3 linked regions of the Rattus norvegicus genome follow. The protein of the gene in region 1 purifies or fractionates together with the protein of each later gene. This does not show direct contact. Links are inferred from orthologs where the notes say so. Each region holds a gene or a part of one and is shown in the gene's direction. Other genes may lie near its edges. The genes, in order: Cttn, Asap1 and Flna.

Region 1 (4,080 bases):
TCTTCTCTTCCTCCTCTTCTTCCTCCTTTTTCTGGAGCGAGAGACAGAGACAGAGAGAGAGAGACAAGGTCAGAGACAGAGAGTCCATTGCTGGGCTGATCTGGACGATACTGGCCTCTAAGTGATCCACCCGCCTCTGTCTTTTTTTTTTTTTTTTTTTTCCGGAGCTGGGGACTGAACCCAGGGCCTTGTGCTTGCTAGGCAAGCGCTCTACCACTGAGCTAAATCCCCAACCCCTACCCGCCTCTGTCTTATTAGCTAGCTTTGTATATAGTCCAAGAGCACCTGCCTAGGGATGATGTCACCCACAGTGGGCTGGCTCTCCTGTATCAAGACAATCATGTCCACAGAATAACCTGAATAAGACAAGTACACATTTGAGACTTTTTTTTTTAAAAAAAGGTGATTCTAGGCTGTGTCAGTTGATAGTACCAACTAGGACAGATGGATGAGTGAATGGATGGATAGGTAGATGGATGGTGGCAGGTGGGTGGATAGGTGGTATATTGGTTAGTTTTTGTCAACTTGACACAAACTAGAGTAATTTGGGAAGAGGAAACCTCAGTTGATGAATTGCCACCACCAGACTGGCCTATAGACAAGTCTGTGGGGGCATTTTCTTGGTTAATGAGTGATATAGAAGGGCCCAACCCACCATTGTGGGTGCCACCGGTACACAGGTAGTCCTGGGATGTGTAAGAAAGCAGGTTGAGCAAACCAGTAAGCAGCACTCCTTCATAAGTCTCTGTTTCAGTTCCTGCCCTGTCTGAGTTCTTGTCCTAACTTCCCTCCCTCAGTGATGAACTGTAATTTATCAGTTTTTCTCCCCGAGTTGCATTTGACCAGTTTTTTTAAAAATCATAATTAGGAACCAGATAGATGGAAGAATGGATGAACAGATGGATGGATAGATGAGTGGGTGGATTAGTAGATGAGCAGAAGGACAGATTGGTAGGTGGGTGGGTAGCCGATTGATAGGGGAATAGATAATGCTGTGTAGAGATCCATGCGTGGGTAGAGAGTTGCAGGGTGGTGGATGCATGGTTGGAAGCTGTGTTGAAGGTGAATGTGTGTTGGATAGGGGTTGGCAGGTATTTCTAAGTCGGATCTCCGCAGCAAGTTGGTGTCCAAGCCGCCGTCAAGTCCTGGAACTGTGCATCCTGCTTCCCGGATCAGCTAACAGTTAGGAATATGGGGCGGGGACGGCCTGGAATAGGGCGGGATCTTGCGTGGCCCCGGATGCGGCCCCGCCTCCGCGGAACCGGAAGTGAGCGGGCACAGGGAGCGGCGGGGCGCGGCGGGAGCCTGGCGGACCCTGCTGGTGCGGTGAGCGGGGGATGGGCGTCCTAGGGAGCTGCTGGGGGACAGGAAGGGTGTGGGATGATGAGTTGTCAGGGTACAGGGCCTGGACGGGAGGTTGGGGTACAGGGTTGGGACCGGGACCCAGGGGATCCGGATGCGGGGCCCAGGGGTGCAGGGCCAGGATCCGTGTATCGTGCCTCGGGGTGTAAGGCTTGGACCCCGGAGTCAGGATTCCAGGCCAGGACCAGGTGTTCTCGGTGTGGGGCCGGGATTGTGACTTGGGGTGCGGGGCCGGGATCGGGTGTCGGGACCCGGAGTGCAGGGCTAGGATCGGGGGTTGGAGTACAGGGTTAGGATCGGGTGACTAGGGTGCAGAGCCAAGGCCAAGGGTTCGCGGTGTGAGGCCAGAATCGGGGAGTTGGGGTGCATGGTTATGGTTGGGGTGCGGGACTGGGATTCGGGGTTCGGAGTGCAGGGCCAGGATTGGAGACTCGAAGTCCCTGGTCGCAGGGTCTGGATGAGAGCATCGGAACCCCAGGATCGGAGGTTTCGGACTCCAGTGCTGAGCCGTTCATCCGGTCATATGTGGAGTATCTAGGGGTTCCCAGCCGGTCAGGCTCTGAGGGGGCGGGCCCTAGGACACAGGCTCTAGGAATCCTGGGCATAAAGGAAGGGGTTGGGCTCCAGAGCAGGATCCCAGGATGAAGTGTGAAGTAGGTTTGGGGTGTTCTAGGTCAGAGTGCATAGTTATGGGTCTGTGTTAGTCCGAGCACCAGACCCCAGGAAAGGAATGAAGACCTGAGGCCTTGGAAATGCTGGTGGGGATGAGGAGACTTCGGTCCTACAGTCTGGTGGAATGATGAGGACCTGCGGGAAGTTGGGGAGCCTGGGGTTCCAGAACTCAGTGGAATTATGAGGGTCTGAGGGCCTGTAGGAAGTTGTTAGGCTGGACAGCCATGTTCCAGAGCCTCCTAGGATTGGTCACTAGCCCTCTGGGCTGGGCTGAGAGGCCAGCATCTGAGGAGGGGCCTGGGCACCTGAGGGAAATTTGCAATGGGGTCAGTGGAAATACAAGCTTCTAGCTTGCATCCTGGAGCTAGGGAGCCTGGAATCCAGCCGCCCCTCCTCCTGGGTTTGTCCCCAGTCACTGCAGAGGTGTTTGGGCCTGGTCTTTCCCCCTCCTTCCTCTTGGTCTGCATGAGGGATGGGGACTTGTGGGCAGGGAGAAGAAATTCCATTTTGTGCTCAGTGAAGCAGAGGCTTTAGTCCTTCCTAGTGGTTTTACCTGGCTGCACTGACTGGGCCTTGTCAGTAGCTGGAGATCCTGTAAGTCCTTACACCCAGTAGACCCCCACAGTCAGAACTTACAGGTCCCCTGTCCACCAGGGGCCAGGCTGATAGGGATCTGAGAGCCGGCCTCTGCTGGCTCACCCAGAGTGAGTCACCAGTTCAGGCCCTGAGTCAACACTGCTTCTCTACTTGACTGAGAAGGTTTTCACCAGAAATTTGAAGGAGAAGCAGCTTTAAGTGGGAACTTCAGATGTAGAAGATTGCAGAGGTGGGGTTGAAGAACTGATTCTGGTACTAGGTCTCCAGAGGCTTCTTCTTCTGATGGCATTGAACCCCGGGCCTTGCAAGACAGTTTCTCTACCCAGCTTTAGCCATGGCCCTAGAGCTGACCTTTAATTGAGGCCTTGTGACAGTCGTGCCTTCAATACCTTATAAATGCCAGAGAATGTAATTGGCCCTTCAGACCTTTAGTCTGTTACTTGGGAAGCCACTTAGTGTAATTCAGCATCATCCTGAGTGTCCTTACCTCTTTGTGCCCCTGTTTTTTGTCCTGGGCATGGTAGTAACTGCCTACCACCTGGTAGTCCCGCCTACCAGGACTCTTAGTGGTGTCCTGGGCAGGCTAGCCTACTCGCTCTGTACACAGTTTCTTGCTGGCCTCAGTAGGCATGGGATAGGGGTTGCCCTCTCTACAACAACTCCCGACCCAGCCACCTTTGCTCTGCTGTGCTCTAGGTATCAGGTTCAGGGCCTCAGGATGGCGGATTCTTCCATCTTGTGACTGGGTCCTCTGTGGCCGAGCTTCCTGCTGGCTGTGTGGGGCTGAAAGGCTTTCCATTTGTTTTCTGAGCTTTTGTTTAGCTTTATTGATATAGTTCACCCCACACTCGATTCCCCGATTAAAGGGTTCGTTCAGTGGTTATCTGTGTATTCAGAGTTGTCCGCCCATCACCACAGACCGTTCTGGCCTTCTCAGAGATCTACATAGAACACGCATGCCTGGGGTCCCAGTGGCTGGGAGTGCTAAGGCAGAGGACCTTGAGACCGAGGAGTACTGACTAGCCTAGGCAGCAAGCCTGGAGTCTGTCTGTGTGTGTCTGTCTCTCTTTCTGCTCCTCCCTCCCACTCCCTTTTTGGTGATGGCTGGGATGCATTTGAGATGGATCTCTGTATCTTTGTTTAACCTGAAACTCACTGTGTATACCAGCTGGCCCTAGTCATCCTCCTGCCTCAGCCTGAGTGTTGGGATTATAGGCTGTGGGCACACACTACCAGGCTGGGCTGCTCTGCTCTGTCCTTTAGAAAAGAAAGAAACTGGATATCTTAGCCTTGACTTTCCCCTGATTAGTTCTCCTCTCAGCTCTCCTCCCACACCACCCCCACATCCCATTTGCTGGGGATCAAGTGCAGGGCCTTGAACACACAAAGCTGTATTCCACCCATGAGCTCCAGCCCTGCCTTTCTCCACCCTGTCTCCATTTCCTTTTG
Region 2 (4,281 bases), on another chromosome or scaffold:
TTAGGGGAACTGTGAGGGCCCAACTTCTGCTCTGTGATTTATCTGTCAACTTCAGACCGGTAGAGGTTCTTTCCCAAATGTAGATAGGATGGTAGGTGAAGGACAGGAATCCCTGGTTGGGTTCCTGGAGCCCAGCTTGGAGTTTTTCCTGTGACCTGTAACCAGTGAAAGTGTTGGAGAAAAGACATGCATTTGGCTGCCAAGCACAGGTCTGTTCGTCCTTGGGAGACAAGCTGGTACCCAAGTTTCAGTTCCCAGCATGTTCACTTCAGTTCTCGCTTGTACGCACGTGGTCCTTCCTCTAAATCTCGGAGTCAGAGGAATCTGAAACACTCAAGCAAAACCACCAAACTGCAGCCTACAGGTAAAATGTGGCATTTCCTGGGGAAACCACAATGAATCACTCCCAATGGCTGCCCAGACTCCCCTGCTGGTTCTCTTAAACCTCCAGGGGCATCTCAAGGCTTATTAACATGCCCTCCCCGAAGTCTCCCACCCTCAGGTTAAAAACAAAATCTCAAATCTTGTGAGTCCTGGTGAATTTCTAATTTCACCAGAAAAGGGTCTATGCAGTGGCTGACCTTTTCTTCTACAGACAAGACTCAAAGAAAAACAATCACCTGTAATTAAGGAGAAACTGACACCCTTAGGCCAGACCTGCCCCTGAGCTGTGTAGGTCCACACAGACATGCAGAATACACACCCTACAAGTTAGAAGCCTCCTTTCTCTGAAGTCTCTAGATTGCAGCAATACCCAAGCATGGGTATCACCGATGTTGCCAACATCCCTGTCTAAGCATCTTGTTTTCAAATGAAGACTATGACACTCCTTTCTTATTTGAGAAACTGAGGCTTAAGGAAGAATCATTTGCAGGAAAGAGGAAAAGGCCATTCTCCAACCAGGCTTCAGAGACCGGAATGTGCGATATGCCAGATCATCAGTGTGGTGTGCTGACCCAAACGGTTTTCCCTCCAGGCACTGGGTAAAAAGATAGAAATCGACGGGAAGGAACAGGCGAAAGTAGCCTAGGAGAAGTCATGGCGGGATGGGAGAGGCCACAGTCTTCTGGTGTCCTAGCTTTAGCAAGCCCCACTTCAAGGCCAAGGTTCTCTGTTGATAAGCCCCACCTCTGCTCTCTGTGGCCAAGGAGGCCCACCCCATGCATCTCCTCCTGCACGGTCCTACTCCTGAGCCCTGAAGTGTGCCGGCTGGCCAAGGGTTAAGCGCGGCGGGAGCCCCCGGCGCGGGGCAGCGGCGGGCCGGGAGTGCTTAGTCAGGATTCCGATTTCCTGCTGAAGTGTTTGGATTTCCTGCAGCCCGCGCCCGCCGTCGCCGCCGAGCGGGCTCGAGAGAGCGGCTCCGCGTCGCCGGCCTCCTCCTCCTCCCCCTCGGCACATGGTCACCCGCCCCTTCCTGCGCCGCGCTCGGCTCCCGCGCCTCGCCCGGCCTCGCCGCGCCCGTGATGGAATAATGCCCAGCGGCCCGCCCGGTCCCGGTGAGTGGCGAGGCGGCGGGGCGGCGGGAACAGGCGCGGCGGGGCGTTGCACGGCCACCCGGACACCCCTGTGGGCTCCGGGTGTCCCCGTCTGCCCGCAGAGCACCAGCCGGGGGCGTGCGGGGCGCGCGGCCGGCTCTGCAGGGGTTGGCGGGGCGGACCGGGAACTCCGCTGCCGCAGCGCCGGAGCGCGCGTTCTCCTGTTCCGCGGAGGCGACTCCGGTTGGGGGCGTGCGCCCAGGGCGCAAGGCTCCCAGCTCAGGGAGGAGGCCCGGGCAGCCGCTGGGGCGCTCTCGGAGTCCGCTGGGGCGCTTTCTCTGTCCTCCCGGGCACTCTCCCCTCCCATCGGGGCTCTCCCTTCCCTCGGGCGCTCTCCCGGCCCTCTGGGGCGCTTTCCTTCTCCTCCCCGGCACTTTTCCCGGTTATCCCGGGGCGCTCTCTGAGCCGCGCGGCGGGGAGGCGCGGGCTTTGGCCGCCGCATTGTCTCTGGCGCAGCGGAGGAAAGTTCCCCTCGGCGTGGGTCCCGGCCTGGACATGGCGCTGCCAGGCAGGCCCCAGACCACTAAAAGCAAAAGAAGCCGGGAATGGGGGTGGTAATCCCCCGTGGGAACCGAGAAGTGCCTTGTGTCTTCCGCTTGTACAATTTTGGAACCTGATGCTTTTTATGAGAGCAACAGTAAGTTTAAACGAAACGGGGGGAAAAAGAGAAACTCGCTGGTATCTGGTTTTCTACTGTTTAATTCATCCAGATACATCATCTCGCGCCCTCGTAGGGCGGGTTCATTTTATCAAGGAGAGGCTTAGCTAAGTCTAGACCAAGTTAACTTGACCTTACCCTTAGCATACTGATGCAAAAGACCATTTTCCTCCTTGTATCGACTCCATCAGGTTGTTTTAGCAGAATTGATTCTAGGATAGCAGTGATACAGGATTGCTGAGTAATGTTTTGAGACTGTAAAACACAGAATTTAGTTTTTAGGCCAGTTTCATGTCTGTTCTAGCCTGAGTGGCCAGGTCTTCTTGCTCGGCCACTAGAAGGCCTTTGGGAATGGGGCTGAGGGGGCCATAGAAGAAAAGAATCTCGGAAAACAACTGTTTTCTCTTTTAATGTGGAAGAGTTTCAGAAAGAGACCTGTTTTGTCTAAGGACACAACTACTTGGTGGCCTGGCTGGGAATAGCTAACTTCCAAGTCTATAAACTCTGGGGCCTGGCCTCTGTGACTATGCCAGATTGTGATCTGCCAGCCACAAGTGTTACTGTGTCTCTCAACGGTCTCCACTTTAGCACCTTCTCCTGTTCTCTTATCTGTTATTGCCGCCGTTTTAGAGACATGCAGTTATCTCAAAGAACATATTTTGAGATTAGGAGTTTAAAAATTACTGTTTAGAATGCATAATGATTTTAAGTACTCGAAGGATGATTTTAAGAGTTAGCAAAAGAGGAAAAGAAAGAAAAAGAAAAGACATTGTCCAATTTCTGTTCACTGATGCAAGTGGATTTGGGATTCAGCTACCAAATGGATTTGAAATGTATAGTGGTAGTTGTTATATGGGGAATTGCTTTTCTCTAGTCTTCCATTTTTTTTTGTTTCAAACAGACAAACTCCAAACCGGCACTGTCTTGACATAGAATGTGCTGTTGAGATTTTCAGAAGTCTCGATTCTGAGTCCTCCTCTCTCTCTGAGCCAGGCAGCCCACCTAGTTTCCTCTTCTTGAAAGCTGAGTGGCTGGCTTTTCATTTTTAGTATGTGATAATGTTGGAGAGAAAGGACTTTTTCACAAGCTTGCCATTTGGTGAAGGAAATTGAAATTCCTTACACCTCTCCAGTCCTCCCCAACCACAGCCAGATAGATTTTCAATACCAATGCAGGCCTTGCAGGCTAGAGATGAATGTGTGCATTCAAGCCTAGCCTTCCTAGTCTGGGCCCTCCTCCCAGCTGGCTGCTCCATGTTGTTCCCAGGTGGCTGCGGTCTAGGGGAAACGAGAGCCCCTTGTACCTGTGCTTTTCGTGGGTTTTCCCTACCAAGGTCTCATTGTGTCTGATGGGATCTTCCTGGTCCCTTTACATTTTCTCCTCCCCTCTTCTTTTTCTCTCACTGGTGTATCTGATATGGGCTCCAAGGGCTTTTCTAGAAATCTGCACAAATGATCCTTACATAAGCGATGATGACAGTGACACTAAGCACTTGTTGCGTGCTCTCGACTTGTTGCCTCCTAAGAAGGACCAAGAGAGTGTTAGGGAGATGGCTCAGTGGGGAAGAGTGTTTGCTGTACAAGCATAAAGACCTGAGTTCAAATCTCTAGCATGCATGTAAAAAGCTAGATGCCCTGGTAAATCCACACCCACTGAGTGAGTGGGTGAAGACAGCATGGTTGCCTTGGCCTAGCTTTAGGTACAGTGAGAGACCCCATTTGATCCTGTGTTCACTCCTTGGTATGTGTACTCAGGCAGATGTGCACATGTTCTCTCTCTCTCTCTCTTTCTCTCTCTCTCTCTCTCTCTCTCACACACACACACACACACACACACACACACACACACACACACACACACGGGTCCCCCAAAGAGGGAACTCCTTGGAAGTCTTTCTCAGAAAGGACAGCCTTTCTCAAATTCATGTGGATTGAGTCATTCTTGTATGCAGTAAACATTTGCTAAGTGGCTCCTCTGTGGGAGGTACTAGTCATACAAAGATGAATAGCACCCTGTTCTCAAGGCCTCTTCTTTTCAGCCTCATCTTTCATTGTCAGGATTATGCTCTTTCATTTAATTAATCAATTC
Region 3 (3,497 bases), on another chromosome or scaffold:
CATGTTGCTATCATCTTAGGAAGGACAGGCTGGGGTGGGGTTATAAGTCAGTTAGTAGGGGCTGGGGATTTAGCTCAGTGGTAGAGCGCTTGCCTAGGAAGCGCAAGGCCCTGGGTTCGGTCCCCAGCTCCGAAAAAAAGAACCAAAAAAAAAAATAAGTTAGTTAGTAGACTGTTGGCCTAGCATACATCAGGCTCTGAATAAACTAGGTATCATGGCACATGCCTATAATCATAGCCCTCAAGGCAGGAGGATCAGAGGTTCAAGGTCATCCTTAGCTTCACAGTGAGTTCAAAGCCAGCCAAAGAAACATAAGATCCTATTTCAAAAACAAAAACAAAATGACTAGCACATGAATGAGGCTAGTATTCCATGTGGCTTCTATTCTGGCCACAGGAAGCCCTCTGCAGTTCTATGTTGATTATGTCAACTGTGGTCACATCACTGCCTATGGTCCTGGCCTTACCCATGGAGTGGTCAACAAACCTGCCACCTTCACTGTCAACACCAAGGATGCAGGAGAAGGTAAGGAGAAGCTCTAGGTTTGCTCTGTCCAAGTTGTCTTCTGTTGGCTGAGAGCTGTGGGGGGAGATGATCCTGAATGGAGTTTTCTACCTTACCTTCACAGCGCTGCTGAGCCATCAAGTCAACTCACTCACAAAGGTTCAACAATGTGTGCCTCGGCACATTTCTTACTCTTATCTGTGATACTTTCCAGGGGGCTTGTCTCTGGCCATTGAGGGTCCATCTAAAGCAGAAATCAGCTGCACTGACAACCAGGATGGGACATGCAGTGTCTCTTACCTGCCTGTGCTGCCTGGTGACTACAGCATCCTAGTCAAGTACAATGACCAGCACATCCCAGGCAGCCCCTTCACTGCCAGAGTAACAGGTAGGGAGCATCAGGAGGAATGACAGGAACAGGCAGCACTGGGGTATAGTCTCTTTGGGCTGGATCTATAGTGGCTGATGGCTTGCACCCTTACCAGGTGATGATTCCATGCGTATGTCCCACCTAAAGGTGGGTTCTGCTGCTGATATCCCCATCAACATCTCAGAAACAGACCTCAGCCTACTCACAGCCACTGTGGTGCCACCTTCAGGTCGAGAGGAACCCTGTCTGCTGAAACGGTTGCGTAATGGCCACGTGGGTAAGAGGTTAAGAGGCAGCAAGAGTTTCTGGGAAGGAAGGAGTGTGGTGATTACCTATAGTCCCAATACTTGGGAGGTGGAGGTAGGAGAATAAGGGGAACCAATCATTGGCTACATAATGAGTTAAAGACATTTTAGCCTGTGATACCCTGTCTTCAAACAAAGAGAGAAATGAAGGAGATTATGGGACTACACCTTGTTGATAGCCCTATCCTATGCCTAGGGATTTCCTTCGTGCCCAAGGAGACAGGGGAGCACCTGGTACACGTGAAGAAGAATGGCCAGCATGTGGCAAGCAGTCCCATCCCAGTAGTGATCAGCCAGTCGGAGATAGGTGATGCCAGCCGTGTAAGGGTCTCTGGTCAAGGCCTCCATGAAGGCCATACCTTTGAGCCTGCAGAGTTTATTATTGACACCAGAGATGCAGGTAAGCAGTGGTGGCTTGCCACTTGGGGCAATACAGCTTTTCTTGTCATTCTGGCTTATAGCTGCTATATATCTCCCAGGCTATGGTGGGCTCAGTCTGTCCATTGAGGGCCCTAGCAAAGTAGACATCAACACAGAGGACCTGGAGGACGGCACATGCAGGGTCACCTACTGTCCCACAGAGCCTGGAAACTACATTATAAACATCAAATTTGCTGACCAACATGTGCCTGGTTAGTGTGGCAGCTATACCCCTCCCCACCATGGTTTGGCAGCATTCCTGGACACACCCCAGTGCCCACCTGTAACTTGTGCAAAGTATGGACTCTACTTTTTTTTCCTACAGGCAGTCCTTTTTCTGTGAAGGTGACAGGTGAGGGCCGGGTAAAAGAGAGTATCACACGCAGGCGACGTGCCCCTTCTGTGGCCAATGTTGGCAGTCATTGTGACCTCAGCTTGAAGATTCCTGGTAAGAAAAATATCAGGAGGGTTCCTGGGGCAACCCTACATAAGTAGAGAAACAGGGTCCTGCTCACCAAGCTATCTTCTATTTGTAGAAATTAGCATCCAAGATATGACAGCCCAGGTGACCAGCCCATCAGGCAAGACCCATGAGGCAGAGATTGTAGAAGGAGAGAACCATACTTACTGTATCCGATTTGTGCCTGCTGAGATGGGGATGCATACAGTCAGTGTCAAGTACAAGGGCCAGCATGTACCTGGGAGCCCCTTCCAGTTCACTGTGGGACCTCTGGGGGAAGGGGGTGCTCACAAGGTCCGTGCTGGAGGCCCTGGCCTAGAGAGGGCTGAAGCTGGAGTACCAGGTAGGTGTACTTGTCTAATTATTGCTATTCTGGGTGGGCCAAGATGGGTGTTTGTGGGAAGTTGCCAGCAGGCATGTTGATCTTGGCTTTGCTTAGATTTGGCTGAGGCTGGGAACCAGTCCTCTGCTTCATGAGCTCACACTGCTTTTCTACAGCGGAGTTCGGCATTTGGACTAGGGAAGCTGGCGCTGGAGGCCTGGCCATTGCTGTTGAAGGCCCTAGCAAGGCTGAGATCTCTTTTGAGGACCGAAAGGATGGCTCTTGTGGTGTGGCCTACGTAGTTCAGGAGCCAGGTATTCGGGACAGAAATGGCATGGGTGGGGAGAGGTAGGACCTGAGTGTGGCTCTGTTGAACCCAGGTGTTACATGGTCTCCACTTGGGTCTTATTCTCCATTTTGAGATTTCAGGGACACCCAAGCTGACTGTGGGAGGCAAGAGGTTTTTCCTAGGCTAGCCTTTGGGGATATATGGCACCTCTAGTATAGCCTTATGTTTTCTTTCTGTCCAGGTGACTATGAGGTCTCAGTCAAGTTCAACGAGGAACACATACCTGATAGCCCCTTCGTGGTGCCTGTGGCTTCTCCGTCTGGTGACGCCCGCCGCCTTACTGTTTCTAGTCTTCAGGTGAGGCACTGAGAGAAACTGCCCATCTGGGGCTCCTGGGCCCGGCCAGACCAGAGTCACCATGGCAAGCAGGCCTTGGCCCTGAGCTGAGTGGCCTACCCAGAAACAATTCTGGATGGTAGGCTTCTGCTCTGGCCGGGTACAGCCCATGCTTGAGGTTGGCAGGAAGTGCCTTGCCCACTGCGTGGAGTTTTTCTCGTGTCTCAGGTCTAAAGGCTTTGAACAGAAGCCTGTGCCCATTGAGCACCAGGGCTGAGGTTTAAAGAGGGACAGCCTGTTAGAGCTAAGTGCTACCTATAGGGTGGGGGCACCTTGCTTTTCTGCTACCTGGGTGTGATTGCAGAGAACTTGTCTAGGGGATAGGAGGTTGGGGGTATGGCTGTGGCTTGCTGCCCTCACAGATCAATGGCTCTCCCTCTTTAAACCATGTTGGACACCAGATGGGTAAGTGACTCTGTGGGTCTCCTGTT

What was found.
Region 2: the proteins of Cttn (region 1) and Asap1 purify together in Homo sapiens (affinity purification with western blotting; 6 studies listed by BioGRID and IntAct, with this or other methods). This does not show direct contact. The link is inferred for Rattus norvegicus from reciprocal best matches to the Homo sapiens genes CTTN and ASAP1.
Region 3: the proteins of Cttn (region 1) and Flna purify together in Homo sapiens (affinity purification with mass spectrometry; 3 studies listed by BioGRID and IntAct, with this or other methods). This does not show direct contact. The link is inferred for Rattus norvegicus from reciprocal best matches to the Homo sapiens genes CTTN and FLNA.

The regions. Positions count from the first base shown.
Region 1 is NC_086019.1:209,061,700-209,065,779, reverse strand, and holds the start of Cttn (src substrate cortactin), read left to right. Parts: upstream 1-1,263; 5' UTR 1,264-1,326; intron 1,327-1,408; exon of another isoform or gene 1,409-1,559; intron 1,560-4,080.
Region 2 is NC_086025.1:97,979,078-97,983,358, reverse strand, and holds the start of Asap1 (arf-GAP with SH3 domain, ANK repeat and PH domain-containing protein 1), read left to right. Parts: upstream 1-1,408; 5' UTR 1,409-1,496; intron 1,497-1,726; exon of another isoform or gene 1,727-2,172; intron 2,173-4,281. UniProt on the Homo sapiens protein: Possesses phosphatidylinositol 4,5-bisphosphate-dependent GTPase-activating protein activity for ARF1 (ADP ribosylation factor 1) and ARF5 and a lesser activity towards ARF6.
Region 3 is NC_086039.1:157,161,877-157,165,373, reverse strand, and holds part of Flna (filamin-A), read left to right. Parts: intron 1-396; coding exon 397-525; intron 526-718; coding exon 719-892; intron 893-989; coding exon 990-1,151; intron 1,152-1,375; coding exon 1,376-1,579; intron 1,580-1,658; coding exon 1,659-1,811; intron 1,812-1,924; coding exon 1,925-2,047; intron 2,048-2,135; coding exon 2,136-2,402; intron 2,403-2,557; coding exon 2,558-2,695; intron 2,696-2,911; coding exon 2,912-3,027; intron 3,028-3,497. UniProt on the Homo sapiens protein: Promotes orthogonal branching of actin filaments and links actin filaments to membrane glycoproteins. Anchors various transmembrane proteins to the actin cytoskeleton and serves as a scaffold for a wide range of cytoplasmic signaling proteins.